Macaca mulatta: one gene and its partners. The protein of the gene in region 4 binds, or shares a complex with, the protein of the main gene of each other region. Links are inferred from orthologs where the notes say so. Each region holds a gene or a part of one and is shown on either strand. Other genes may lie near its edges.

Evidence for each region.
Region 1: the proteins of AXIN1 (region 4) and GSK3B are in contact, whole or in part, in a crystal structure (PDB 4B7T), measured with the Homo sapiens proteins. The link is inferred for Macaca mulatta from reciprocal best matches to the Homo sapiens genes AXIN1 and GSK3B. Residues at the interface, in NP_003493.1 of Homo sapiens: Glu384, Pro385, Gln386, Phe388, Ala389, Glu391, Leu392, Ile393, Arg395, Leu396, Glu397, Val399, Gln400; in NP_001139628.1 of Homo sapiens: Ile228, Phe229, Val263, Asp264, Leu266, Val267, Ile270, Lys271, Asn287, Tyr288, Phe291, Lys292, Phe293, Pro294, Gln295, Ile296.
Region 2: the proteins of AXIN1 (region 4) and DVL2 are in contact, whole or in part, in a crystal structure (PDB 6JCK), measured with the Homo sapiens proteins. The link is inferred for Macaca mulatta from reciprocal best matches to the Homo sapiens genes AXIN1 and DVL2. Residues at the interface, in NP_003493.1 of Homo sapiens: Arg821, Tyr823, Lys825, Lys826, Glu830, Phe831, Val835, Val836, Phe837, Glu838, Glu839, Lys857, Glu859, Asp862; in NP_004413.1 of Homo sapiens: Lys15, Ile17, Tyr18, Glu23, Glu24, Thr25, Pro26, Tyr27, Leu28, Val29, Val46, Leu47, Gln48, Arg49, Pro50, Phe81, Arg84.
Region 3: the proteins of AXIN1 (region 4) and SIAH1 are in contact, whole or in part, in a crystal structure (PDB 5WZZ), measured with the Homo sapiens proteins. The link is inferred for Macaca mulatta from reciprocal best matches to the Homo sapiens genes AXIN1 and SIAH1. Residues at the interface, in NP_003493.1 of Homo sapiens: Pro378, Lys379, Glu380, Val381, Arg382, Val383, Glu384, Pro385, Gln386, Lys387; in NP_003022.3 of Homo sapiens: Cys130, Pro131, Ser154, Thr156, Leu158, Asp162, Ile163, Val164, Phe165, Leu166, Ala167, Thr168, Asp169, Val176, Asp177, Trp178, Val179, Met180, Asn272.

Annotation. Positions count from the first base shown.
Region 1 is NC_133407.1:163,631,210-163,638,258, reverse strand, and holds the start of GSK3B (glycogen synthase kinase-3 beta), read right to left. Parts: upstream 4,173-7,049; 5' UTR 3,159-4,172; coding exon 3,071-3,158; intron 1-3,070. UniProt on the Homo sapiens protein: Constitutively active protein kinase that acts as a negative regulator in the hormonal control of glucose homeostasis, Wnt signaling and regulation of transcription factors and microtubules, by phosphorylating and inactivating glycogen synthase (GYS1 or GYS2), EIF2B, CTNNB1/beta-catenin, APC, AXIN1, DPYSL2/CRMP2, JUN, NFATC1/NFATC, MAPT/TAU and MACF1.
Region 2 is NC_133421.1:8,716,886-8,723,969, reverse strand, and holds the start of DVL2 (segment polarity protein dishevelled homolog DVL-2), read left to right. Parts: upstream 1-2,985; 5' UTR 2,986-3,270; coding exon 3,271-3,464; intron 3,465-6,786; coding exon 6,787-6,856; intron 6,857-7,084. Other genes in the region: PHF23 (PHD finger protein 23), read left to right, coding at 59-151, 767-1,604, 1,696-1,910.
Region 3 is NC_133425.1:43,774,739-43,781,984, forward strand, and holds the start of SIAH1 (E3 ubiquitin-protein ligase SIAH1), read right to left. Parts: upstream 4,436-7,246; 5' UTR 4,251-4,435; coding exon 4,160-4,250; intron 1,206-4,159; coding exon 355-1,205; coding exon of another isoform or gene 252-354; 3' UTR 1-251. Other genes in the region: LONP2 (lon protease homolog 2, peroxisomal), read left to right, coding at 252-371. UniProt on the Homo sapiens protein: E3 ubiquitin-protein ligase that mediates ubiquitination and subsequent proteasomal degradation of target proteins.
Region 4 is NC_133425.1:1,502,240-1,508,784, forward strand, and holds part of AXIN1 (axin-1), read right to left. Parts: intron 4,077-6,545; coding exon 3,831-4,076; intron 1,785-3,830; coding exon 1,677-1,784; intron 133-1,676; coding exon 1-132. UniProt on the Homo sapiens protein: Component of the beta-catenin destruction complex required for regulating CTNNB1 levels through phosphorylation and ubiquitination, and modulating Wnt-signaling.

The DNA of each region.
Region 1 (7,049 bases), on a different chromosome or scaffold from region 4:
GCATTTAAATAAAAGCCCTTAGTTTACTGCTCCCAAATATAAATCCAACATTTTTAGGTGTAGAAAAATAAGAAACTGTGCAATTAATAGACTAGGAAGTCAAATATCATTGCCAGTAACTAACTGCTGTCTGAATTTCAAGGGAACTTATTGTATATTAAAGTTTAAGAAAGTGAACTCACCTACCCTCTCACCTCAGCACTTTCTCAATTTTCCCATTACAATTAACAATATAACTCAGCAGTGAAGTCTTCCAGGCCAGTAACATCAGTATTTATTTTTAACTCTTGACTCCTTCACAAATATTCCACTTCAGTCCAGTATGAAGTTCTGCCAGTTCTTCATTCACACTGTCTCTCAAACCTGTTCCTTTCACCCCATTTTCACATTTTACTTTAGTCCCTCATGATTCACAACATACCCTACTAGCTCCCTAAAAAGGCTCTAGCATCTCTCTACTATAATTCATTAATTCAACTGCAAAAATCATCTTACATCTTGTTCAGCAGCCAACAGTAAATCCAGATCTCTTTTGAATCTCAATCAAACTTTTACAGAATCCCTCTGCCCTCCATCAGCTAACTTTCTTTTATTTCTCAAATTCCATTTGTTCTTATGTTCTTACGTAGGCCCCTTTAACTCCGATTTGCCAACTTGATTATTGCCTCTCATGCAAAACTCATCATCTTTGTGCCTTGGTACACTCCTTCCACCTAGACCTTTCATGCTTTTCTACCAGTTCAAGTTACCACGTCCTTTAGTATCAGTCTTAATACCCCTTGTCCGCAGGAAGTCTTTCCTCTCCCACCCATCAGTCTCACCCTTTTACTCTTTGCCCCTCTGAACAAATGATTCAATTTGTATTTTACAATCTAGCAGTCATCATGCTATTGTTTTAATTTTTTTCCCATAGCCTCCCTCTACAACCAAATAAGCTTTTGAGAGCAAGGACTACAATTTCTTATGTTTCTGTTTTCAACAGGGGTTCCTTAGAATGCTAGCATCCTAACAAATGCTTAAAGACTCCCCTTTCTTTTAAATGTTTTTAAAGTCAAAGCTGTCAAAAACACATAATTAACACTAAACTCCAACTTTTTAAATTCTAAATTGACCTATACGGTAATCAGAAAATAAACATTTTCATCTATATATTTTACAAGAGTTACTCCATCCTTAGTATCTGCATTATCAAAAATTCAAAAGTCATTTCAAAGAAAATCCTGGAAAGAAAATGAAAAGTCCCAAAATGTAGCATTATAATCTAGCATTATAGATCTCTGAAATAAAGCTAATAAATCAATTAGCTGAAATTGATTGACTGGTTTTCAAACTATATTACCAAGATGTAAAACATACAAACACTCCAGTACCAACAGAGGCTCTTAAGTAGTTATTATAAGATTTGTATCATCATAGCTGAAAATTACCCCGGAATTTTAAAATATTTTTCAAATGACTCCATGAAGCGCTTAGAAAGCACGACCCTTCCCTGAAAGATGCATAATCAGCTGTCCTCTTTTCCTACCCCGGCATTCTCTACTTGCAAACCACCGGGGGAAAAAAAAATTAACTTTGAAAAATAATCTCCCATTCAGCTATTACCTAGACTACCCTGTTTCAGGCTAGTTCCCAAAGCCAACACGAAATGAAATCTTGAGTTCAACTAAAAGTGATCATTTTATGTTGCCTAAGAATATAATCAATTTCACATAACATACATGTTTTTTGTGTGTGTCAGTTCTTAAAATCTCAGTTCTTTAGTTCTCTCCGTTCTTCTAAGCAACACAGTAATTTCTTTGCCCTCATGATGACCCTCTTTCCCACAATAAGGAAACAACATAGATATTTTTGTTAAATTCTGAAAGTATGTTTAAACAAGCTGTCATTAAACACCACATGAACTTCTCCATAAATAGAGATACACTGGAACATTAGATACTTAGTATATACTAAACACTTCAAAAGCATACTTCTCAGCACAAACCCAGGACAAGAGTAGTCTATCTACAACCCTGAACACAGTCCAAATATCCCTATTATTTCCAGGACCACAGCCATCTGCAAAAGCCAAAATGGAAAGGACTAAAGCCACATTCTTCTAACTAAATCCACAGTTATCTAAATGTGATGGAAACTAACGCAAGAGTATTTTAAATCGTCCTTTTTAAGGAACCCTCCAGAACATTTAACAGGAGCGCAACAGTACTCCAAAATTGAACTTAAATGTAATGAGCCAGTGACAACATTTAACTTACTATTTGGCACTATGACAAAACAAATCTCAATCAAAACCTGGACCTATTAATACTTCTATGTTACCTTTTGATTAAATATAAATTATACGGTGGCAGGTTGGTAATGTCAAAACAGGAAGGTTAAGAGAGAACACATCAAACCACTAATCCAATCGAACACAAATGCATACAGAGATGCTACTGCTGCTGGGTATTTATTGGCTCCCACTAGTCCCTTCTAAAGAGAGAAATCAATGACAGCCTCCAAATGTGAATGGTTACTGAGCAAGTTCATCCACAGATTAAGAACAAATACTATGTGTAGTCATACAGACAAGAAAAAAATGTTGGGAGGGTGGGACGTTTAATGTCTCTATTAAGTATACCAAACTATGATAAATCCTGAGACCTAAAATACCCTCTTATTCCAAAAGACATACATTCTGCAAATGTGCACAATGGTTTATTAATCAAATCTTGTCCTTCTCTTTATTCTAAAGGATGGGCAAGTAAACACGGTCATCACTAACGTGGAAACACTCAAGCACTTGATGAAACTCACTACCAACAGCAAGAAAAGTATAAGAAAGCAGTTTCAAATCGAATCATCCAAATAAAAATCATATTATCTCAATTCAAGGTTAATGAGACCGGGGGAGGGGGTATGGGAGGAGTAAAGAGGGAGCTGCTTCATCCTTGACTGAAGATAGGTTTTGCCCTTTTCCATTGCTTGTTTGTTATATTAGGAAGTCTAATATTTTCAGATCCTGGTATTCCGAGATTTCTTATTTTAAGGGCGAAGTGGAAAAGGGGCGTAAAATAAAATCAATACTCACTGCTAACTTTCATGCTGCCAAAAGCTGAAGGCTGCTGCACCGGCTTGCAGCTCTCCGCAAAGGAGGTGGTTCTGGGCCGCCCTGACATGATCACTCTCTTCGCGAATCACCTTTTCCTTCCTTCCTCCTTTTCTTCCTTTTGTCTTTATGTTGGGGTGTTAGGTTAATGATAAATGCAGCATTAAGTTCTCCCACAGAAGAAAAAGAAAAAGACTTCGTCCTCTTGGTTTTTCACTCCTTTTGTATACTATAAAAAACAAAACAAGCGATGTATTTCTCCTTCAAGACAGATCGGCACGGATATTTAACATATAGATGATTTACGGCTGGGGAAAAAATACAATTCCTTCCCCTCCCTTTCCTGGGAGGAGAGAAAAGAAGGGGCAAATCCTAAAAAAATATGTATCACGTGAAACAGGGGCAAATACTTGATTGAAAATGAGTACTTCGAATATTATATTTTCCTCGGGGATTTTTTTTCCGAGTCAATGAAGAAGGGAAGCGGCGGAAGGATCACGAGTCTCACGCTTGAAGAGAAAGGGGGATGGGTAGGAGGGAGGGAGAGGGAGGGAGGGGGTGGCTCGGAGATGCGACGGGAAACGCTGCAGCTCCGGCAGCCGTGGGATCCGGCGGGCTGACGGCGGGGGCCCGGCGAACTGGAGGGCGGCGGAGTCGCGAGTCAGTCAGAGGCGGGCGGTGGCGGCGGCTCCTCTCCTCATTGCGCCAGGAGCAGCTGCAGGCGGCGGCTGGATCCAGCGGCCATGGCGGCGGCGGTGGCGGAGGCAGCTCCCTTCAGACCCCAGGCAGCGGCTCCTCGACTGCTCCCCATACGCCGGGGACATGGGAACCCGGCAACCGCTTCCGTCCCTCGGGGCCCCCTCCCCCGTCCGCGGCAACAGCTCGGCCGCCCTCCCGCCCCTCGCCTCTGTTCGGTGCCCGCTCAGGAAGTGTCCGCGCTTTGCCCCCAGCCCAGAACCCTGTCAGCGGCTGCGGGGCCGGCTCCTCCTCGCTTCCTTCCTTCCTTCCTTTGTCACTCGGCCCGGGCGGCGGCGGCAGCGGCGGCACAAGCCCGCATTCGCCCGGGTCAGGGGCTGCTCTGTGTGAGGAGCGCTGTCTGCGCAGCCGCCTTGCACTTCCCCACTCCCCCTCCCCCTTCCTACTCTTCCTCCACCTCCTTCCTCCCCCACCCAGCCTTACACCGCCCAGCGCACCGCCGCCCGCGTAACAGGCGTCTGGGAATCGCCGCCCGAGCCCCACTCTCGCCCGCTTCGGCTGGGAGCCGAAGCCCGAACGGAGCCAATCACGGACGTCGTTTGTTTGCGGCTCCTCCCGGAAAAAGCCGATCGGCCTGAGAAACCAATTAGAAAGTGACGCTGGAAAGCCACGCCCAAAGAGCGGAAAATGCCGAAGGCAGCCGAACGGAAAGGGTGATTTCGCCTTGTTCGGTGGCTGGCTGGAGGAGACATTCGACAATGGCAACAGTGGCCAATCAGAGTCGCCGGCCCTCACGAAAAAGCTTGAAGAGTTGAAGACGGTGAAACCCAGAGACGCTGGTGAAACTGCACGGTTGGGCGCCGCCGCCGCTTTGTAATTGGCTGGAAAACTCCGCTGGGAGCGTACCTCCCTCGGTGATTGGTGAAGGGAAGGGGGCTTCCGAGGACAGTTTGGCCAGTCAGGACTTCCCCTCCCTCTCCAAGGTGGGGAGAAGAAAGCGAAGGGAGGGCGTCTATAAAGCGCCGTCTCATTGGCCGGAAGCTTAGGCGCTGGAGTTGGGGCAAAAGGGAGAGGGTGGAGCTCGAAACTCGCGGCGGTGGCCAATCGGCTCTCACTGCCGTCCAATCGCAAGACTTAGCTGCAGTGTGATTGGCCTTCGGCCTCCGTCCCAGGACCTGGGAGATGCCCGACTAGGGTCGTGGCTGACGACCCGACGGCTCGCCTGCGGCCTCCAACTACGGTGGAAACCGCACATAGGGACCGCCTGCCCTAGGCGCAGCAAATCGGAAAGTGCTGCGGTCGGCGGCGCTGGGTTCTAAGAGCTCAAGCGAGCAGAGGGGTCGAGGGGTTCTCCCCATCCACAGGAGGCTCTCGGCGGGGCGCAGCCAATTCTGCGCGCCTAAGGCTCCCCTCTGCCCTGGATCGCGTGTGCCGGGTGTCGGCCTCTTCCCCGAAAGGGCCTGACGGACAAAGGGGGCCTTCCCAGCCGGCAGCAAGCTCTCAGACGCTAAAATGGGAACAAAGCTTCTTTGGGCGGCCGCGCCCCGCCCAGCCTCGGGGGCCATTGATAGAGAGGCCCGCTGCGCTTGGTGTGCGCGGCCCGGCCGGGCCTCTGGAAACGCCCATGAGAAATGAGCTCATGCTGGATGCGCGCGCTCCTTGGGCGCAACTGCCCAGCGCAAAACGGGCCCCGAAAGCAGGTGAGGGGAAATGCCGTCAGGCCGGATATCCTGAAGCCTCCAAGGAAATGGGGGGTTAGAGGAGCCCGTGGTAGTTTTGGATCTTTTGGAATTAGGGTGATCTATAAAAGTGCAGCTTGAATAGATTTCATATGTAAGACCAGCGTCCATTGTTCTACGATAGAACCAGTTCCTTTGGTCTGCTTTAGAACAGTGAGGTATGGCTACGTCAAGAGAGAGAAAGTAGAACAGACAGTTGCCATCCTGATTGTAATCCAGTGGTTCCTGTAATTTCTACCTGCAGAATCATCTCTTTCAGTTAGGATACTGTCTCCAGAAAGCACAAGTAAAAGGACCTAAATTTGATCAGATTACCTGGCTCTTGCTTTGAAACACTGATGAAGGACTTGGGACAGAACAAAGTAAGCTTTGATGGAAGACAGGAAAGGTCCAGATAGTGTTTGCAGATTCAGATGGCTATAGAGGCCAGACAAGTAAAGCAAATGAGTGAGACTGGCCTTGTGTAAGACAATGGGGAATGATGGGGGAAATGGCAAATTGGAATATCCATGCCATAACTAGAAGGAACAGCTGCTCAGCTCTAGCAGATTGTTGCCCTCAGGAATGTGGGTCCAGTGTTCTCAGATGTTCAATTTTTTTTCCTCCCAAAAGAAATCCCAAAATTGGATTTTTGTGTGAAATCTCTGTATTTTTAAATGTTGATAACCGATATTTCAAACCCTGCAGACCAACCTAAAAACATCCCTTGGCCGATGAGGCCAACAGGCAGTTTGTAATCACAAACCTGAGAATAGGTTTTACAGCCTAAGAGCGGTAGAGGTTCTTGTTCTTTGCAATGAAAAGAGCATAAGGTCACTGGATGCCATGGGTGAGGGTAAAGAATGTTAAAAGCAAATTCAATTCGGCAACCTTGTCATCTGTGGTGCCTCTCCATGCTGTTTATTATGAAAGACCTTTGCCGCTGTTCCCTAAAATGCTGTGAGGCAAAACTTTAAATCGTGCCTACCTCTTCTATACTTCCCGTCCCTACTCCTAGTTATACCAGCTGGAAAATAAATAACAAATGTTTAAGTTATACAATTTGGAAACATGGCTATTCTCTTGTATGTAATAGGTATGGAAATAGTCTTCCATAAGGATATGATTAGCAGCTTTACTGTTGCTGCCTTCAATATTTTCAGCTGATGCTATTTTTAAAAATCTGACCAAGAGGAAATTTTATAGGGGAAAAAATGTATATTTCAATCTAAAATGAGGACTTGAGGAAGGAGAAGCTTATGAGACAATACAAAGCTATTGAAACTAATATTCAGTAGTTTCTCTGAACTTTCCAACTGTCTCTTTCCTGCTTGCTGCCAACAATTTATCAGTTTATAATAACTAATAGTTAATATTTATTAGGTGTTCACAATATGCCAGGTGGAGTTAAATGCTTCACACAAAATTTCCCAGTTAAATTTATAAAAATTATATGAAATAAATACCATTATCACTTCCAATTTTAAGATGAGAAAACTGAGGCCCAGAAATGTTTCCTAACTTACCCAAAGCCCATGAAGTTAAAG
Region 2 (7,084 bases), on a different chromosome or scaffold from region 4:
AGAATGCCCTTCTTAAACTGTGTGGCTTTCCATGTGATCCATGTCTCCTTCCTTTCAGCCACCAGAGAAACGGCGGAGAACAATTGAGGATTTCAACAAATTCTGCAGTTTTGTTTTGGCATATGCTGGTTACATCCCTCCTAGCAAAGAGGTAGGGGCAAGAGAATTACTGACTTGAGGCTCGTGTCGTGGGACTAGAGAGTGGCTGTTGTTCACATAGAACTGTACTGCTTTATAGGAGGAAGCCCCTAGAAATATGTAAGACTAGAGGGAAGTTGGAGATTCTTAGGACTGTGGTAGGAAAGCTGGTATGCAGGGAGTGGATGGCAGGGCTAGCTAGCTTGAACAGCAGTGAAAAGCAAGGGGGATCTGGAGTTGCTGGTCGAGATTTTGGCAGTCTTGAGGTGCTGTGAATAGAAGGTGTTTATGGATAAATTTTAGGGAGATGAAAATGGTAACAAATGAGGCTACACAGAAAAAGAGCTAAGGACATAAGGCTCTGGTCTGGGGGACACCGTGTTCCACAGGCCCTGGGCGGGGCAGCGGTGAGGTATCAAGACTCGAAGGTGGAGGTAACACGGAGTGGTCAGGAGGACATGCTGATGGGAATTGGGGTGGGGAGAAGTTTTGGGAGTACAGTGGGATTTAGTGGTTGAGGTAGAGGACATTTTGGGGTAAATCTAGTCACTCCTTTTCAAGCTGGGTTTGTGGAGGGGCTGAGATGACACTGGGGTTCTGCTGACCCTGGACTCTTTCCCCTTTTAAGGAAAGTGACTGGCCCGCCTCTGGCTCCAGCTCTCCATTGCGAGGAGAGAGTGCGGCCGACAGTGATGGCTGGGACTCGGCCCCCTCAGATCTTCGAACCATCCAGACTTTTGTTAAGAAAGCAAAGTCATCCAAGAGAAGGGCAGCCCAAGCAGGTCCCACCCAGCCAGGACCCCCAAGGTCCACTTTCTCTCGTCTGCAGGCCCCCGACAGTGCTACCTTGCTTGAGAAGATGAAGCTCAAGGACTCTCTCTTTGATCTCGATGGGCCCAAGGTGGCATCTCCTTTGTCCCCCACATCCCTGACACATACCTCCCGGCCCCCTGCTGCTCTTACCCCCGTGCCCCTTTCCCAGGGGGACCTCTCCCATCCTCCTCGAAAGAAGGACCGAAAGAACCGAAAGTTGGGGCCAGGAGCTGGGGCTGGCTTTGGGGTGCTTCGGAGGCCTCGGCCAACTCCTGGGGATGGGGAAAAGAGATCTCGAATCAAGAAGAGCAAGAAGCGGAAGTTAAAAAAGGCAGAACGGGGGGATAGACTCCCACCTCCTGGGCCTCCCCAGGCACCCCCCAGTGATACAGACTCTGAAGAGGAGGAGGAAGAAGAGGAAGAGGAAGAAGAGGAAGAGATGGCAACAGTGGTAGGGGGAGAAGCCCCAGCCCCTGTGCTCCCAACACCCCCCGAGGCTCCTAGGCCCCCTGCCACAGTGCACCCTGAAGGAGTCCCTCCTACTGACAGTGAAAGCAAGGAGGTGGGCAGCACTGAAACAAGCCAAGATGGAGATGCCAGCTCCAGTGAAGGCGAGATGCGGGTCATGGATGAGGACATCATGGTAGAATCAGGTGAGAGGTTTGGGCTGGGGCGAGGGGTTTGAGGGTGTTGTGGATCCAACAACTGCTCAGGCAGAATACCAAACAAACCTTTTTTCCCCAGGTGATGACTCATGGGATCTGATCACGTGTTACTGTCGAAAGCCCTTTGCAGGGCGGCCCATGATTGAGTGCAGCCTGTGTGGGACGTGGATCCACCTCTCCTGTGCTAAGATTAAGAAGACCAACGTCCCTGACTTCTTTTATTGCCAGAAATGCAAGGAACTGAGGCCAGAGGCCCGGCGGTTAGGGGGGCCTCCCAAATCTGGAGAGCCCTGACGGCACCAACTTTAGCCTGGAACTTCCAAATGATAACATGATTTGGGAACTGAGCCTCAGGGTCCTCAGCCTACCCCCTGGAGCTTGGATACTGTCCGCACTTCAAGGCAGGAATTCCCAAGGGAGACTTGTTTGAAAATGAGTGTCTCACTTTCCTACCCTATCCGTCCTCCCCACTCTGAACTTGAAATTGAACCCATTACGGTTGCGGGTGGGAGGCTGTCTGTGTCTCTAGACACATAATCTCTGTCTCTTGGACCTGCCACCATCACTTTCTGGGTCAGGATTGGAATTGGGATGGAATGGGACAGTTGTCTATAAAACTCTAGTGTAAATATTAGCACTCCCCTCCCTCATCTTTTCTTCTATTTCACTCCCCATTTATTTTCTTCTACACCGGTTGTATTTTTAATTTTGGACTTCCCCTACTGGGCATGGCAGCTCAAAGGTGGAGTACTAGAGCCTGGCCAAGCAAGGAAGGAAAGCAGAAAGGTGACGATTCTCACTCACCTCTTTTTAATAATATTGGCCGCTGTTTGTACAGACAGCCTGCGTGTTGTGAATAAAGCAGAGTGGGCTCTTTTGTGTTTATAGCCCTCACTGTCCTGCTTGGGAGGGAGGCTTTGGTGGCTGAAGACTAGCTGGACGTGGTGCTGAAAGCCACCTCTCACAGTCCAGTCTGAAGATGGCACAGCACTGGGCCTCTCCCACCCCAAGATACTTGAGTAAGCCACCTCAGAGCTTTCATTGTATTTGGCCCTCCCCACTCGAGTCTAGGAACCCCCACAATCCCCACCTTCACTCCCTGCACGCACACTCCTGAGGGTCAGAGTTGCTTCGCGCTCCCGCCGGTGTGGGGTAAAGCCGGGTGGGAGCCGACTGTCCGCTTCCTGAGGGCACAGGCCAGCTTATCCTGGGTGCTCGGAGGACCTCGGCTGGGGTACACCTTTGGGGGCTGGGAGACCGTTGCCGAAGGCAGCGATCACGTGGCGGGGGCACTAGGAGGAGTCACGCGGTCACGTGACTGGGAGGGGTCACGTGACGGGGGCGGCTGAAGAGCGCGGGGTGGGCGGGCTTAGGTCACGTGACATGAGGAGAGGTGGGCGGGGACCTGGAGGACGCTCGCGTTGTCGGTGGCGGTGGCGCGCGGCGGCCGCTGAGACCGCGGCTTTGAGTCGCACCTCGCGGCCCGCCCCCCGCCGCCACCCTTGCCGACCCCTGCTTTTTTCCCTTTGCTTCTCTCCAGTACTGGGTCCGTCCTGTCCGCGCTCGCTCGTCGGTTTGCGGGTGTGCGCAGGCGCGGCAGGGGCCATTAGCCCCTTGGGTGGGCGGTGGAGCCCGGGAGCGCGCGGGCGAGACCATGGCGGGCAGCAGCGCTGGGGGCGGTGGGGTTGGGGAGACGAAGGTGATTTACCACCTGGATGAGGAAGAGACTCCATACCTGGTGAAGATCCCTGTCCCCGCCGAGCGCATCACCCTCGGCGATTTCAAGAGCGTCCTGCAGCGGCCCGCGGGCGCCAAGTACTTTTTCAAGTCTATGGATCAGGATTTCGGGTGAGCGCAAGGCCTAGATAGGACCGACGGGGGCTTTGCTAGAGTGGATTGGGCGACGTGGAGGGGCACACATCTACTTCGGGCCACACTAGGATTTTCTGGCCTGTGGTGGAGCAGATTGTACCATGCTGAGGTAGGTTGACTCTCCCAGGATGGACAAGGTTATGCTTGGATAGATTGAGGCACACGGGCAGACTAGGATATCCTAAACCAGATTAGAGACGATTAGGCTCTACTGGAATAGGTGGGGGCATACTGGTTTATTTTGGAGTGTTTTAGACTGTACTGAGTAAATTCATTTATCGTCTGGTCGTTTAGTACGTTCTCAGGAGTCCTGTAACGCCTGTAATCTCAGCACTTTGGGAGGCCGAGGCGGGCGGATCACGAAGTCAGGAAATCGAGACTATCCTGGCTAACACGGTGAAACCCCATCTGTACTAACTAAAAATACAAAAAAATTAGCCGGGCGTGGTGGCGGGCGCCTGTAGTCCCAGCTACTTGGGAGGCTGAAGCAGGGAGAATCGCTTGAACCTGGGAGGCGGAGGTTGCAGTGAGCCGAGATCGCGCCACTGCACTCCAGCCTGGACGACAGTGCAAGACTCCATCTCCAAAAAAAAAAAAACACCAAAAAACAAAACAAAACAAACTTGGGCCATTATGGACTCTACTGGGCTGTATTGGTTAATCCTGGTTTATCTTGGGGCAAGACATGGTTTTATTGGAGCACTCAGTATGGGGGCAGACAAGGCTGTTGGTGCCCATGCTAGTACAGGTAGCTGTATTGGGGTATTCTAGTCTATATTGGTGCAGACAGCTAGCTGCGTGTGGGGACATTGTAGGCTGTGCTAGAATAGATTGGGCTATCCTAGGGTAATTTGGACATTCAGGGCTATCTTGGACTAGATTGGCATGTAAATAATGCAGAGAAAGCCCTTTTGTGTTTATGGTCTTTGGGGCTGAGCCCTCTCTGGGTCCTCAACCTCTGCTTTTTTTTTTTTTTTTTTTTTTAAAGACAGAGTCTGCTCTGTCGCCCAGGCTGGAGTGCAGTGGCTGATTCTCGGTTCACTGCAAGCTCCGCCTCCCGGGTTCACGCCATTCTCCTGCCTCAGCCTCCCCACTAGCTGGGACTACAGGCACCCACCACCACACCTGGCTAATTTTTTGTATTTTTTTAGTAGAGACGGAGTTTCACCGTGTTAGCCAGGATGGTCTCGATCTACTGACCTCATGATCGGACCGCCTCGGCCTCCCAAAGTGATGGGATTACAGGCGTGAGCCACTGCGCCCAGCCCAACCTCTGCTTTTTTGAAGGCAGGCTGGATTAAGTTGAGATAGCATGGGTTTTAGAAGAACTGAACAAACTGGACTCTAGCTAGAAAGATTGTTTGACATGGGAAGGGTGATACTATCTTGGGAGTTATCTTGGCTTTAAGTCAAGGTTCTTCTAGTTGTCAGCAGTGCAATCTTGGACAATTAATTTAAATTTTGTGTCTTGATCTCGTCTGTGACATGGAGAAAATCACAGAATGAAATGGTTAGTTCAGGTGTGTGGTACATGGTAAATTCATGGTGAATGGTAATTGTCATTAGTATTGAGGCTGACTACTCTATAAAGGTTATGGTGATACACAGTAATTTGTCTTAAGAGTGGACTGAGCTATGCTGAGATTGTGTTATGTTGGGAAGAATCCTACATGATGCTGACACAGATTGGTAGTGACTGGGCTGTGTTGTCACATTGACAGCAAATGGATTAAGTTGATATATATCCTGGCTCTTATGACCATATTAGGCTAACGGGTTAATTAGACAAGGTGTCCTAATTTGGCGGCAAGGGTGTGTGTGGAAAGAGAGAGAGAAACAACCAGGGCAGAGAGTCTGATGCTTTATATGTTTATTCATTTAGTTGACAGTATTTGTTAATGCCTAAGTGTCAGTGTGTGGTGTGTGGCCAGGACATGGTGTTGATCAGAGTAAGTGTTCATGGTTTGATGTCGTGGTCAAGAAGAAGGGGCAAGTCCAGTCCACCACAGGGAACCCATTGGAGAGATGACCCCAAGGCTGGGCTTTGGGATCTGTCAGGCTGAGCAGATTGCTTCGTGCCGAATTTTGTGCCAGATGAGGCACAGGGGAATGGGAGCGCCAGCTTGCTCTCTCCTTGGGAGCTTTCAGTCTAATGAGGAGCTTCCATTGTTTGTTTGATCTAATGGTGGGTGGTTTTGTTTTTTGTTGTTTTTTGTTTGTTTGAGGTGGAATCTCACTCTGTTGCCCAGGCTGGAGTGCAGTGGCGCAATCTCGGCTCACTGCAACCTCCGCCTCCTGAGTTCAAGCGATTCTCCTACTTCGGCTTCCGGAGTAGTTGGGATTATAGTGTGCACCACCGTGCCGGGCTCATTTTTGTATTTTTAGGAGAGACAAGGTTTCATCATGTTGGCCAGCTCCTGGCCTCAGGTAATCCACCCACTTTGGCCTCTCAAAGTGCTGGGATTACAGGTGTGAGCCACTATGCCTGGCCTCTAATGGGTGTTTTTACTCAAGAAAGGACAGTCTTCTGGAAATGAATTAGTGAAAACTAAAGGCAAGTATAAAAGTAGAGACTTGGTTGAGGACCGAAGCCTTTTTTTGGAAGGTTTTTTTGTTTTTTTTTTTTTTTTTTTGAGACAGATTCTTGCTCAGCCGCCCAGGCTGGAGTGCAGTGGCACAGTCTTGGCTCACTGCAACCACTGTCTCCTGGATTCAAGCAACTCTCCCGTCTCAGTCTCCTGAGTAGCTGGGATTATAGGCACCCACCATCATGCCTGGCTAATGTTTATATTTTAGTAGAGACGAGGTTTCACCATGTTGGCCAGGCTGGTCTTGAACTCCTGACCTCAGGTGATCCGCCCACCTCAGCCTCCCAAAGTTTTAGCATTACAGGCATGAGCCACCGTGCCCGGCCTTTTTGGAAGGTTTGTAAGGAACAGGGATGGGCTTGAGAGGAGGCTACCAGCCAGTCTCATTAGATAGGTATCTTAGGCAGCTGCATCAGCATAGGGGATTGCCTTTGAAATTGTACTGAGAGGTTTGAATCAGACTCAGTCAAGTCTTTGGAGCAGCACTACGCCCCTGAGGGTGCGTTAGGGAGAGGAGAAATAAGGAAAGGGGATTGAGTTTGGAGATTTCTTAGGTGTCAGAGTGAGTTCTTTCAATGTAAGAGAAGACCTGAACAGGGCGGGAGAAAGTCAGCATCCTGGAGCCGGGTGAAGATTGGGAGGAACTTTGATGGGGGTGGGGGTGGGGGTGGTTGGTCCAGCTCACTGACCTCCACCTTGTCTCTTGGCAGAGTGGTGAAGGAAGAAATTTCAGATGACAACGCCCGCCTCCCCTGCTTCAACGGAAGGGTGGTATCCTGGGTAAGAGGTGCAGACGCCGAGGGCTGGGTCCCCTCTGCATTTCCAAGCTTCCCCAGGCCTCAGTCCGTTTCTGTAGCCCTCTCCCAGGCCAGGTATTAGCAGCCCTGGCTCTTTACCTCCTATCTGTTTGGAGAGCCAGTGAGAGGCCCTCAGCCTTCTCCTTCTGGAGTCTCTAATACTTGCTAGGTTATTTTGCTCTTCTCCAGCTCTCTGAGACCCTTTTTCGTT
Region 3 (7,246 bases), about 42 Mb from region 4:
ACACACTCCCACGCAAAAACAAAACAAAAAAACTATTTTTCAACAATACAATCAATCTACAACAAACACAAAACTCAGAATTATTTTACAATGCTTCCTTTCTTAATACAAAAGATGCCCATCTTGGGTGTATATACATATATTTTTTCAGTGGTTTACTGTTGACTTATTTTTAAATATATTAGTGTTACTACATGCAACTGTTTCCTGTATTTAACAGCCTTTCCTTTCATTTACCTTCATGTGTCTAGCTTCCACCTACCAAAAGAATTTTAGGTTGGCAGGCAGATGGGTGCCTTATTTTCTGTGAAACTGAAGTTTTAAACACTGGCCAGAAAATGTTTGATTGCCATTTCAACACATGGAAATAGTTACATTGATGCCTAAATTGCCATTTTCTGCAAAAAGCTGTGCAATGCTGGTGTCAAAGACTAGGCAGTCGCTATTCATAATGGCTGTTGCAATTCCTTCATGAATAGATCGAGGAGTCGCTTCCCAAGTCAATCGTCGCCTGTGACCATTTAGCTCAAGTCGGTAAGCAAAATTTTCAGCTTGCTTGCGTGTTCCTATCAGCTGTACAATTGCAAAGAACTGCTGGTGACCATCGTATTTTTCCTGTTTCTCCAAGACTAACATGAAGTGAAAGCCAAAACAGGACTGCATCATCACCCAGTCAACAGCACCAGGAAGATTAATGTCTGTAGCAAGGAAAACTATATCCTCTCCCTGTAGGGTTGTAATGGACTTATGCTGATGCATCAGATGGGGCATTACAGCATCCAAAGAGCCTTGCCATTTACAGGAAGCACCAGGGCACGGACAGGAATAAGGCCTAAACTCACAGAGCTCTTCGTGGTCTGCTTTTTCTGTGTGTGGCAGAGTTATTTCACATCCAGAAGAGGCATATTTACAGGGGAAAAGTACTGAATTAGCCACTTTCTCCATAGCCAAGTTGCGAATGGATCCCAAAGGGCCCCGGCAAGTTGGACAACATGTGAGCTTTGGGCGACAGTTGCTACAAACAAGATGGCCACTCTGACATTGAAGAATGGGTGGTAACACATAGTCAAAGCAGACTGGACACTCAAAAAGACTCGCCAAGTCATTGTTGGATGCAGTTGTGCCAGTCAGGGCAGGTACCCTCTGGGATGGTGGACACTTCGAGGTACCAGTAGGTAATGCTGTAGCAGTCTGACGGCTCATTTCTGAAATAAATACATAAGGAGGCAGGAGAAAAATAATTATAACCATGACTTATTTTACAAATAATGTTTACATGCCAGAAGTACTTTTAAAGTTTCATGCAAAATTTACTGAGCAAAAGAGAAAGAAAAATAAATAGAATTTAAAAAGTAACATACTAAAAAATAAAATTACACTGAATGTGCACTTTATTAGGATCTGTACACTGGATAAGCTCTCTTTTCAAAATATTCCGGAAAACATTTGGAACTCCCTTAATCGTCTTTGGATAGACTACATGGAATAATAAATGCTAAAATAGAAGATGGACCATAAACAACTAGAGAAACTATACAAGGAACTGAAGTTTAATCGAATCCGTTTTGCTAGGACTCTCTCCCTGAGACTCCCTTACTCTTATTTCTTTCTAATTTGGAGTCAGCTATTGATAGGTATAGGGAGTTACAGGTGAAGTCCTGGATAAAATCGGCACTCTGTATTCACACGGTCTGCATCCAAGGACTTCACCACAGCCATGGATTGAAAATATTCAGAAAAATTTACAAATAATACAAAATTTTTAAAATACAGTCTATAACAACTATTTACGTATTATTTACATTGTATTAAGTAATCCAGAGATAATTTAAATTATACAGGAGAATATGCACATACATATACGACACCATTTTCTATCAGGGACTTGAGCATCCTCAGGTTTTGGTATGGGGAAGGGGGTCCTAGAACTAATCTTCCGAGGATACCGCGGGACAAGTGTAGTTCCAATGCCAAAGAATCAGAGAACCTTCCATTAACTCTTCTTAATGGTAAGCCATTATCTACTCTAGAGGTGTACTTTGGGAATGAGGGGAGGGGTCACAAGGGGAAAGGTCTGCTGCCATCCCATTATCCATCTTTACCTAATTAAGTCTTCCCCCCAAATTATCATCAGCCAGGTATTAATCTTATTTCTTACTGATTAGTGCTCACCTCAAGAGTGAGGGGATGTACTCGCTAGTGAAGGTAGCAAAAATATAAAAATAAACACACAACAAAGGTGAAGGGAGACATAGGAGAAATGGAGGGCCATCTCAAAACTTTTTAGTCTGGTAGAGAAAGTACATCTTTCTGTTCCACTTTCAATCCACAATATGTATCAGACATAATGAACAAAGGAGGAGAGTCAGGAAGAGACAGTGAAAAAGGAAAGAATAAAGATGATAGCACGGCAGAGATAATATACCATACTGGGGGTGGGGGATGAAGTCAACAGGTGAAGAACCCCTTGCAGCCTAGGGTTCTCCAGCGTTGCTGAAACATTCATCAGCAGAGTAATCAACGTTATTTAACAAGTAAATGTCATCTGGAAGAAATAATCGACAATGTAACTAGTCAAGCTGAGTCAAACATAAAACAAGCAACTTTTCCCAGGAAGCTACCTGGGCTGGGATATTGCAGGCCACTATTTGTCTTGGGGGTGGAAAAAAAGATCAGTCGATGTCCTAAGAGTGCACTCCTAGTAACTCTACTAAGCCATATTCTTTTTTTTTTTTTTTTTTTTTTGAGATGGAGTTTTGCTCTTGTTGCCCAGGCCGGAGTACAATGGTGCCTGCTCACTGCAACCTCTGCCTCCCAGGTTCAAGCAATTCTCCTGCCTCAGCCTCAAAAGCAGCTGGGATTACAAGTGCCTACCACCATGCCCGACTAATTTTTGTATTTTTAGTAGAGACGGGGTTTCACCATGGCTGGTCTCAAACTCCTGACCTCGTGATTCCCCGGCCTCGGCGTCCCAAAGTGCTGGGATTACAGGCATTGGCCACTGCGCCCGGCCACTAAGCCATATTACAAAATTAAAGCTTCAAAATTAATGTTTTAATTCAATTATAGTCATTATTCTGTTGCAGGGAACTTTTAAGAAACAATGTTGGTTACCAATGTGACCAAGTAAATGCAACTTGGTTTCTAGATTACCCAAGTGGTTACCAACTGATAGCTTAAATGAGGGCTTAGGGTGAAGGAAAAATAAAGATTAATTCCACATCACTAAAAGGATATTTTAAAGTTCAAGAGGCAACAAAAGTGACAGAATTCCATCATAATGTGTCTCATCATACGGACTCAGAACATGAATCAACTCTCATCTGAAGCCCAGTGTGACCCAGGTGTTCTGTCCCCTGACAAAGGACTATAAAGGAGCTCTCCTGTAATCCAGTTTCCCTCTGAGTAGATTCTTTGTACATATGACATCCATTTTATGTCACTTGTAAAACAGTGGGCTCAGTATTGCCAAAACACCCTGGCTGTATGCTGTATGCCTACTGCATGGTCCAGTTTACTTCAGTAAGCAGCATAACAATTACAAAGTGGTTCCTTGGGCACAAAACAGTCTAGTCAACCAATGCCTTTCAGATTACTAAACCAAACCAAGGAATCACATCCAAGGGCAGTAAACTCAGTTTATATTTAACACAACATAGCTAGAGACCGAGAAAAACACTGTTGTTCACAATTTCTTGACCTAGCAATAGTTATACATTTATCATCAACAGTTCAGGCTCACAATACATCTTTACCATTTTCCAAACACTATAGAAAGCACATTTTAACTCCTATTCAAAGTGTGAAAAAGAACTGAAATGTGAACGGTATTTCTTGTGAATGGAGGTATTACAGGACAGCAACTGCTAAAGCCTCTCAAAGCTCCAAGGGTGGAACCCAGCTCCATCTTGAAACAGAAAAGGAATCCCAACCACACAGCCGCCCTGCAGTAGGAACTAAGGACAGCCCTGCAGAAGTCATGACGTAACCTGAAGTTTGATTTAAACATAAAAAAGCACAGCAACCCAAATGAAACATGACTGAGAACCTCGGAAACGGCTGGATTCTGCTGCAGCCATTCCCTAAGCCAGACAGGTTCCACTGACTAATAGCGTTCAAGCTTCATAGCCTCAGCAACCTATCCTCTTAATGTCAATACCTTTTCTCTTCCTTGTCCTGGCCGCTGGTAAACATGTGAACAAGACTCCCCTCCAGGAGTACAGAGAAGGTGGAGTAGCCTTTCCCGTCATGAGAAGTCAGGCCGCGCATTGCGTTTCCCCCAAGAAGTAAAGGAACAGGCCCCTCCTGGGCACTTTCTGCTCCTAAGCACAGAAGACCCAAATTCGCGTCTGAGGTCAGGATCCAAATATCCATTTACTTCTCAGAAGCACGAGTTACAGAGGTGGAGAAAGGAAGCCTTCCCATCCCCAGGAGGCAACCACACCTCCCTGTGAGCTCAAATTCGGCTGCATCTCCAAAAATGGGAGCCACAGCTGCGCTGTCCTCCAGTGTGCCCTAAGCTTTCGTCTGTCTCCCAAGTTTGTCTTCTCCAGATTCACTCCGTAGGCTACTGCCCAGCTCCCCAGCTCCGGTGGAGGCCGGGGATGCAGGGGGCGACGCGCTCACTGCGAAGGAAGTGCGCTCCCTGAGCCAGCTCAGGGGCTACTGCAGAAGCCTGCCTGCTGGAGAGCCATTTGGAGCCTCGGCCGGGGCTGGGCCTGCGTTGGGAACGCCCACTCCAACCCGGGGCGCCAGGGCCAGCTCAGGGCGCGCAGCGCGCAGGGCGGTGCCCGTCTTGCTCGCGCAGGGGTGGGGCTGTGCCCGCAAGCCCCGCCCCGCAGCCCAGGGCGGGGCCCCGCCACCCCGCTGTTGACCCCATCCCACCCCAGCGACATCGAGCCTTCCTCAGCATTTCCACCAGTTTAAAATTAGGTAGAACCATGCTGTTTTCGGTAGGTCACAACAGTCGAATATCGGCAGTTTCTCACGGTTCGATCTAAGAGCTACAGCGTATCTGGCGTATCTGGGAAATGCGTGCCCACACCGGCGCTACATTCCCGGTTCATCGTGCAAACTTAATTTTTAGAGTGAAAACATTCTCCTTAATTCATTCAACAGCTATTTACCGGGCATCAACTACCATATTTACTCAATTCTAGCTCACTTCATTTCTACTCCTATGGGCACTATATTTTAAACTCTCCTTCCCCGCTGTGAAAAGACTTCGCAGGAAAAGTTGTAAGCACACTTCTGCCACATTAAACTCCTACTTAAACCTCCTAAGAGATTATACTCTTCCCACTCTGGGAAAGCCATCTTAAATGGCCTCATTAAACACAGAGTAGCTTGTTTTGTTTTTAAACAAGCATTACCCTTGCCCCAATAAAGTCCTGGGCCTCAGATTTGCATTGCATCAGCTAGTGCGTGCAGAGGTTTAACCTGTCATTACATCATGCTTAGGGCAGCCTCCAAATGCAGCAAGAGCTGGCAGTGAGGAGTGAACCCAATGCAAGGAACTGCAGATTACCCACTTTCAGCAAGAAATTTTAACTCTACCCACTTCCTCACTCTATTAACAGTGTGTCCAATCACCTCAACCTCATTTTACAATACAGGCTACACAAAACAACATTAGGAAAAGAAATATAATTGAAAATAGACACAGTCGTGCCAGAACTATTTTTTTTTTCTTTTTTCTTGAGACGGGGTCTCACTGTTGCCCAGGTCTGAGTGCAGTGGCACAATCTACACTCACTGCAGCCTGGGTCTTCTGGGCTCCAGCAATCCTCCCACCTCAATCTCCCCAGTAGCTAAGACCACAGGCTGACACCACCACTCTCGCTAATTTTCTTTGTATTTTTTGTAGAGACAGGGAGTCCCCATGTTGCCCAGGTTGGTCTCGAATTCCTGGACTGAAGCAATCTGCCTGCTTGGCCTCCCAAAGTACTGAGCCACTGTGCCCGGTCTGTATTTTTATTTTCTAATATTTATTCATTCAACAGGTCTTAAATTTCCCTAGAGAAGAAAATTTCATATATTTTAGAGAAACTTCCACAGAACTATGAGAGAACCAAAATGTATACAACAAAAAGATGACTGATTATTTCTCAAGCAAAAGATATTTCACTGTTTATCAAACTCCAAAAGATCTGTACAGAGCCTTACAGCACACTCTGAAAACCACTCATCTATAGACAGGCCCCTCTACTTAATTAAGTTAGAAAAGTGGAAGCATTCTAGAGTCATCTACACTTGGATTCAAACCCAGGCTCCCCTAGTTATTCAGCTGTAAAACTGGACTGTTTCCAGACTCAAATGGCTTTTGTCTAGATTGAGATGGGTAATTTATGTGTATCACAGGTGGTACATATTCCAGAATATTTAAGTTTAGAGCTGAGACCGGATTTAATTGCCAAGTTATCAATTAGAAACTTAGAATTTGTAGATTCCAAGACACACACTCCAAAAGATGCCTTAAGCTTGCAAAGGTGATCAAACATGTCTGCCAAGAATCAACCACCATTTAATTTTTAGCACAATAAACCTTAATTCTCAACTGGGTAGAATATTTATTTACACTAGTTTTACAAACCGCTGAAAAGTTCACAGAAGTACCTTAAGACAAGCCCACAGAATCCAAAAACTGGCAAAAATCCCAAACTTAACAAGAATGCACTATTACCGATACTTTCTAAAGCCTACGTCCCAAGCCCAGTTTGGTATATAGTTTAAGTAGATGTCAATCTAAATAAAAACATTTTAGAATCAGCCTTTAATGTTGTCTTAGTAATTTCAGAGCATTCAGCCATTGATTTACCATGCATACTTAACAGTAGAAAGATAAACTTTTATTCTCAATTCCACGTGGCAATCTTTGTTTCCTTTTATAAATTACTTATAAAAGTTTAAAATGGAGAAATGTAGTCAGATATGGAAAAAAAAGCATAATATATTGTAAATGAAGTTACAAATAGAACATAGGAGGGATGGGGTGAGAAATCAAGAGGACTACAACATCAGACCAATGAATCAGTTATCTGTATGAGGATACTGGTGATTTTTAGCTATCTTTTTCCAAAGGGGACAATAAACTGCTTTATAAAGTCTGATTAACAACTATGAAAACAGTCAAAATGAGCAAAAAATAAAACATGTTTATTCTTAATTTAGTAAAAATAACAACAACAAAAAAGAGCCGGGCACGGTGGCTCATGCCTGTAATCCCAGCACTTTAGGAGGCTGAGGC
Region 4 (6,545 bases):
TGGCCCAGGGTGACAGCGCGGCCCCTCACCAGGGTGCGGTAGGGGATAGGCTCCCCACAGAAGTAGTATGCCACAACGATGCTGTCACACGGCTGGGCACTCCCGCCGCCCGCCTTCCTCTGCGATCTCGTCCTGGGGAAAGAGATGCAGCAGTGGTCCCTGGTTTTGGACTGAGGTCCCACAGGGTGCCTCCTGCTGGCCTCAGGCTGCCAGCAAAGGGTGGGGCAGGCCTGCAAACACCTGGGGCCCCAGGCCCCACTGCCCCCCCGCCCCAGCATCTCAATCTGGGGTCTACTCCACCAGCAGTGGAGTCTGACTCCACTCACTGGCAGCACAAAGGTCTCCCCGCTGCCTTACAGCCCCACCCTCGACTGGACAGGGCCTGGCCACTGGGCGCACTGTAGCTCTCACCTCTAGGATGGCAGGGCAGGCTGCATGGCTCCTATGCCAGGAAGACCTACGGCCCCCAAACCTTAAAAACATCTCAAGGGCAGGGATTGGACAAACAGAACTATGCACGATTTCTGGATGAGCCTGACCCCACAGTGAAGTCTGTCCCAGGACTGTTGCGGGTGCGGCCAGCAGGCCCTTCAGAGGGGGTGGGGCTGGCACCGTCTCCTGCCCAGGCTGAGCTGGGCCCTCCTCTTACAGGGGCTGTGCTTCCACTCACACCCTCTGCTTGGCTCCCCTGCCACCACCTGTCCCTCAGATGACTCCAGAAGCTGCCCCTGGCCCACTGGGGTTCAGGCCTCGGGCCTCCTGCTGGCTGCGTGCACTAGAGGCTGCCAGAGCCGACATCATGGCAGGAAGGCCTCACGGCCACCTCAGCCAGGTGACCGTCCACTTCGCACACCAAGGCCCCCACCCACCTGCATTCTTGGACTTTCTCCCAGAGCCACATCCTTGCAGCCCCCTGGAGCCAGGCCCATAGGAGAATGAGCCAACATGTGGGGGCTGCCCCAAGGACGGGTGAAGGCCCCTCCAAGACCCCCTAGAGGATGACAGCCACAACAAACCTGCATCTGGGGCAAGCCTGGTAATGCCTGGGGGACCCCTGTTCTCAAGGCCCCTTTTGGGATATGCCCCTCCTGCCACCTTGAGCACACAAAGGCGCCACTGACACAGCCCATGTGGGATCACGTGGTATGGACACAGTAAGCCTTTCTCACGGGCTCGGAGTGGTCAGCACTGCAGGTGGGAGCAGAGCCCTGACTCACGGACTGCACGGACTGGACAGACGCACATAGTTGAGACCCACACTGCAAGCTGACGCACCTCGCGCACCTAAACACCTGCAGCCCCGACCCTGCTCAAGCCAGGTCTGCGGGGACCAGCCAGTTCCAAGCCGGGTGGGGCCAGGGGCAGGGGTAGGTCTCTGCCCCACAAGGGGCCTCCCATGACACCTGTGTGGATACAGGGCTGGCTGTTCCCAGGCCTCCAGCCGGGCCTGTTGGTCACTTATCGTCATGCTGGACAGTCAGCATCTCCTCTGATGGAGACGGGAGAAGGCTCTTGGGCAGCTTGGAGTCTGATGCCGTGGGACCCTCTCCTGCCACAGCTGCTTCTCAGCGTGGTACCTGAGCTCAGGCCCCAGGACGGCGGCTCTACCATGGGACCTGGCTTGAGACGCCTGGGCTGGGTGGGCAGGACCAGGAGGACCCTCAGGACGCACGTACTCTGTCTCGGAGAGCTCCATGTCCGACACGGCTGGTACCACGCGCAGCACTGGCGCGCACGCTGGCCTGACGCAGGCGCGTCCCCGCCGCATAACCTCCTGCACATACCTAGGGAACAACCCGCGTCAATGGTGGCTGCGCCGGCGGCCACCAGCCCTGGGGAAGGAGCCTCGACCAATGCTGCCGCGCAGGGACAGACGGAGCATGAAGGGGCTGTACAACCTGCCCCGTGAAGGCTCCAGTTTGCAGGGTGGACAAGACACCAAACCCCCTCCTAGGCCTCAGTGGTGCCAGACACTGCAGCACACTCCACACTCACGATCTGGGTACCAACCCCCCTGTTCCCCAGACCGCACTTTGGGGAGCTTCTGATCTGGGGTCCTGGGATCCTACCACCTCATCCCCTCTGGTGGGACGCCATCTCCTCCCGAGAGCCTGTCCTTGGGTCTCTGGCATGAATTCCCCACCAATGGCGTGGACACTGGCTCTGGGGTGTGGCAACTCTGTCTGCACCTCAGGGAGGCTGAGAGCCCCCCGGCGCCACAACTGAGGCCATCCTGGGGCAGCACGGCAGCTCCTCTCACGTGGACACCTCCACCGGGGTGCACTGGGCGACCCTGATGGTAGTTTCTACTCTACAGCCCGACAGGGCCCAGCACCCGACCTGCCTCTGGGCCTTCACTCCAAGTCTCCACAGCTTCTCGCAAAAACGTGTCCCCTGGACAGACAAACCCAGCAACTCTGGGTTTCCCCACAGCATCCAAACAGGGGCAGGAAGGTCGTGTCTCAGAACGGCGGCAATGGTTCCACGGCTCAACGGGCATCCCCTGCCATCATGTAGGGCCTGTGGGTGCCCGGGGAAAGGGCAGATGCAACTCGAGAGACCCCTGCTCAGCCCAACAAGGGGGCTCAGGAAGCCCCAGCAGGAGAGAGCACACAGGCCCAGGGCCTTGAACCTGCTGCACATGATGCCCACCCCCGGCTCATCTGCCAGCCCGGTCACACGCCCCAGCTCCGAGCACCACACACCAGGCTCCTGCATGGCACGGGGCTCTGGCTCCTTGTTGGCTGAACGAGATCACAGGGTCACAGACGTTTGGCCATAAAGTGATCACCCTTTGGGTTTGAGGTAACTGTGACCCTCTCTGGCCCCAGAGCTGTCATTAGGCTGAAACTTTAATGACTTGAGACCACACAGGCTTTCGGCTGGGAAGGGTCTGAACCCTGATGCTGGTTTGGCAGAATAGGGCCCCTGGCCCCAGCCTCCCTGGAGTGGCACAGCCCCAAAGCTGGAGGCCCAGGAGGTGGGCCTGGACCCCAGGCCCCAGGTGACCCAAGGTGGACAGGAGGAGCTGGTGACCTCTGAAGGCAACCATGGCCTCTGTGACCACAGCCCCAGGGCCTGCATGAGCTACAGGCTCCCAGGACCCTCACAGAGACCCTGATGTGTGAGGAATTCCAATGACCCAGGATGGCCGAGAAAACTGGCCTCAAGAGCAAAAAGCTGAAAGTGGAGAAGGCAGGTTCTGGCCTGCAGCAAAAACGCTGCCGGAACAAAGGAGCGGCCTCGCTGCAGCCCAGGCAGAAGCCAGCCTGCTCTGGGGAGAGAACAGGGTCTGGCTACTGGGGCCCAGAAGGCCAAGGAAGGCTTAGCGAGGAGGGGCTGGGGGCTGGACGTCCAGGATGACAACTCTACATCTGCACAGGTTGCAGACCCACGTAGTTTTCCAACCGCGTAGAGCCACTCAGGGCTCGTGGGGTGCGATTGTCAAGAGGCAGCCGCCATGCCTCCAGGACCCCTGCCTCAAAGCCCAGGCTGCCCAGCAGTCAGCAGCCTCTGGCTGGGACCAGTGTTCCCCACACACTGGGGCCCTGCAGACGCGGCTCAGGTTCAGGAAGGACCCCCCTCCACAAGAGCAGTGAGCACAGAGGCCTTGGGTGTGTGAAAGCTCCGGCCCCAGCCCTCCGTCCACCGCAGGGTCGCCTGCCACATGGCTCCTCAGTGGTTCTCAGTGGAAGGAAGGGCCCAGTATGGCTGGGCGACACCAGAGGGCCGTTTTTCCCCTGAAGACCTCAGGCCTTGGGGAGCTTCAGCCCCAGGAATGGTGCTGTGGTAACTCCCAAGACCCACCCCACCCCACGATGCGGCCGTACCTCTGTTTGGAGGGTGCCCGGCTGGCTCTCTTTTCTTCCTCCTCCAGACGTCGGCGCGCCTCCTCCAGCTGGGTTAGGGGGTTGGGAGCTGGGTGGGGTGGCATCGTGGGGTCTTGGATGAAGAGGTGGGAGGGCTGCACGGAGGTCCGGAGCTGAGGGCCGGCCCAGGGGTGCACGGCCGCGGGGCGCTCAAGGGACAAGGGTCTGGAGTTCTCATGGGGCTGTGGCTTCCTTGTCCCTGAGGACCTTGGGGAACAAGAGAACAAGCTGTGGCTGTGGCCAACACCCTGGCCAGGTGGCCTGGTGGGGCTACACCCATCTCACAAGGGCAGCCTCCTTCAGGGGTAGGATAGGATGGGCTACTGGGGCCTGGCCACCAAGACACATGGATGTCCTCCTCAGACCACACAATAAAAACATCCCGGCCGGGCACAATGCCTCACGCCTATAATCCCAGCAGTTTGGGAGGCTGAGGTGGGCGATCACCAGAGGACGGGAGTTTGAGATCAGCCTAACATGGTGAAACCCCGTCCCTACTAAATATACAAAAGTAGCCGGGCGCCTATAATCTCTGCTACTCTGGAGGCTAAGGCCAGAGAATGGCTCGAACTGGGGAACTGGAGGTTACAGTGAGCCAGGATCACGCCACTGCACTCCGGCCTAGGTGACAGAGTGAGGCTCGGTCTCAGAAAAAAAAAGACAACAAAAAACCATCCCTGATTTGCCTGTAATCCCAATCCTCTGGGAGGCCAAGGTGGGCGGATCGCCTAAGGTCAGGACTTCAAGAAGAGCCTAGCCAACATGGCGAAACGATGACTCTACTCAAAAAATACAGAAAATTAGCCAGGTGTGGTGGTGGATACCAGTAATTCCAGTTACTCGAGAGGCTGAGGCAGGAGAACTGCTTGAACCTGGGAGGCAGAGGTTGCAGTGAGCTGAGATTGCACCACTGCACTCCAGCCTAGGAAAGAGTGAGACTCCATCTCAAAAAAAAACAAAAAAACCAAAACAAACAAACAAAAAAAACTGGCCAGGCACGGTAATCCCAGCACGTTGGGAGGCCGAGGCGGGTGGATCACCTGAGGTCAGGAGTTCAGGACCAGCCTGGCCAACATGGTGAAACCCTGTTTCTACAAAAATACCAAGTTTACTGGGCATGATGTTGGGTGCCTGTAATCCCAGCTACTCGGGAGGCTTAGGCAGGAGAATCGTTTGAACCGGGGAGGTGGAGGGTGCAGTGAGTTGAGACCGGCCTATTGTACTCCAGCCTGAGCAACAGGAGCAAAACTCCATCTCAAGAAACAAAAAAGGCTGAGCGCAGTGGCTCACGCATGTAATCCCAGCACTTTGGGAGGCCGAATCACAAGGTCAAGAGATGGAGACATCCTAGCCAACATGGTGAAACCCCATCTCTACTAAAAATACAAAAATTAGCCGGGCGTGGTAGTGCACGTGCTGTAGTCCCAGCTACTTGAGAGGCTAAGGCAGGAGAATCGCCTGAACCCAGGAAGCGGAGGTTGCAGTGAGCCGAGGTTGTGCCACTGCACTACAGCCTGAGCAACACAGTGCAACTCTGTCTCAAAAAAAAAAAAAATCCTTTCATGGTGACTTTTTTCTTTTTTTGAGACGGAGTTTTGCTCTTGTTGCCCAGGCTAGAGTGCAGTGGCGTGATTTCGGCTCACTGCAATCTCCGCCTCCCGGGTTCAAGCGATTCTACTGCCTCAGCCTCCCTAGTAGCTGTGATTACTGGCACCCGCCACCACACATGGCTAACTTTTTGTATTTTTTTTTAGTAGAGATGGGGTTTTGCATCCATTAACATTTGCATCCATTTAACAGCTTTACTGGGATATAAATTATATACTAATCCTAGGGGCCGAGGCTGCAGTGAACTGTGTAATTGCACCATTGCACTTCAGCCAGGGTGACAGAGAGACTCTGTCTCAAAAAATAAAAAAAAGTCTTAATGAATAAAAATTATAAATATGTTTCAAAGTAGAACGTATTAATACTTATCCTAAAATATGGGACATGCAGTATTTAGTATATACAGCTATATAAAAAAAGGATTCGGATGGGCGCAGTGGTTCATGCCTGTAATCCCAGCACTCTGGGAGGCCGAGGCGGGTGGATCACCAGAGGTCGGGAGTTCGAGATCAGCCTAACATGGTCACCCCCTCCGCTGTCTCTACTAAAAATACAAAAATCAGCCGGGCGTGGTGGCACACACCTGTAATCCCAGCTACTCAGGAGGCTGAGGCAAGAGAATCGCTGGAACCCGGGAGGGGGAGGCTGCAGTTAGCCAAGACTGCACCACTGCACTCCAGCCCAGGGGGCAGAGCTAGACTCTGTCTCAAAAAAACAAAAACAACAACAACAAAAAAAAACGCCAGGCGCGGTGTCTCACGCCTGTAATCCCAGCACTTTGGGAGGCCAAAGCAGGCGGATCATGAGGTCAGGAGATCGAGACCATCCTGGCTAACACGGTGAAACCCCGTCTCTACTAAAAATACAAAAAATTAGCTGGGCGTGTGGTGGGCACCTGTAATCCCAGCTACTCGGGAGGCTGAAGCAGAAGAATGGCGTGAACCCAGGAGGCAGAGCTTGCAGTGAGCTGAGATTGCACCACTGCACTCCAGCCTGGGCGACAGAGCGAGACTCCGTCTCAAAAAAAAAAAGATTCGAAGGCCAGGAGTGGTGACTCTCATGCCTGTA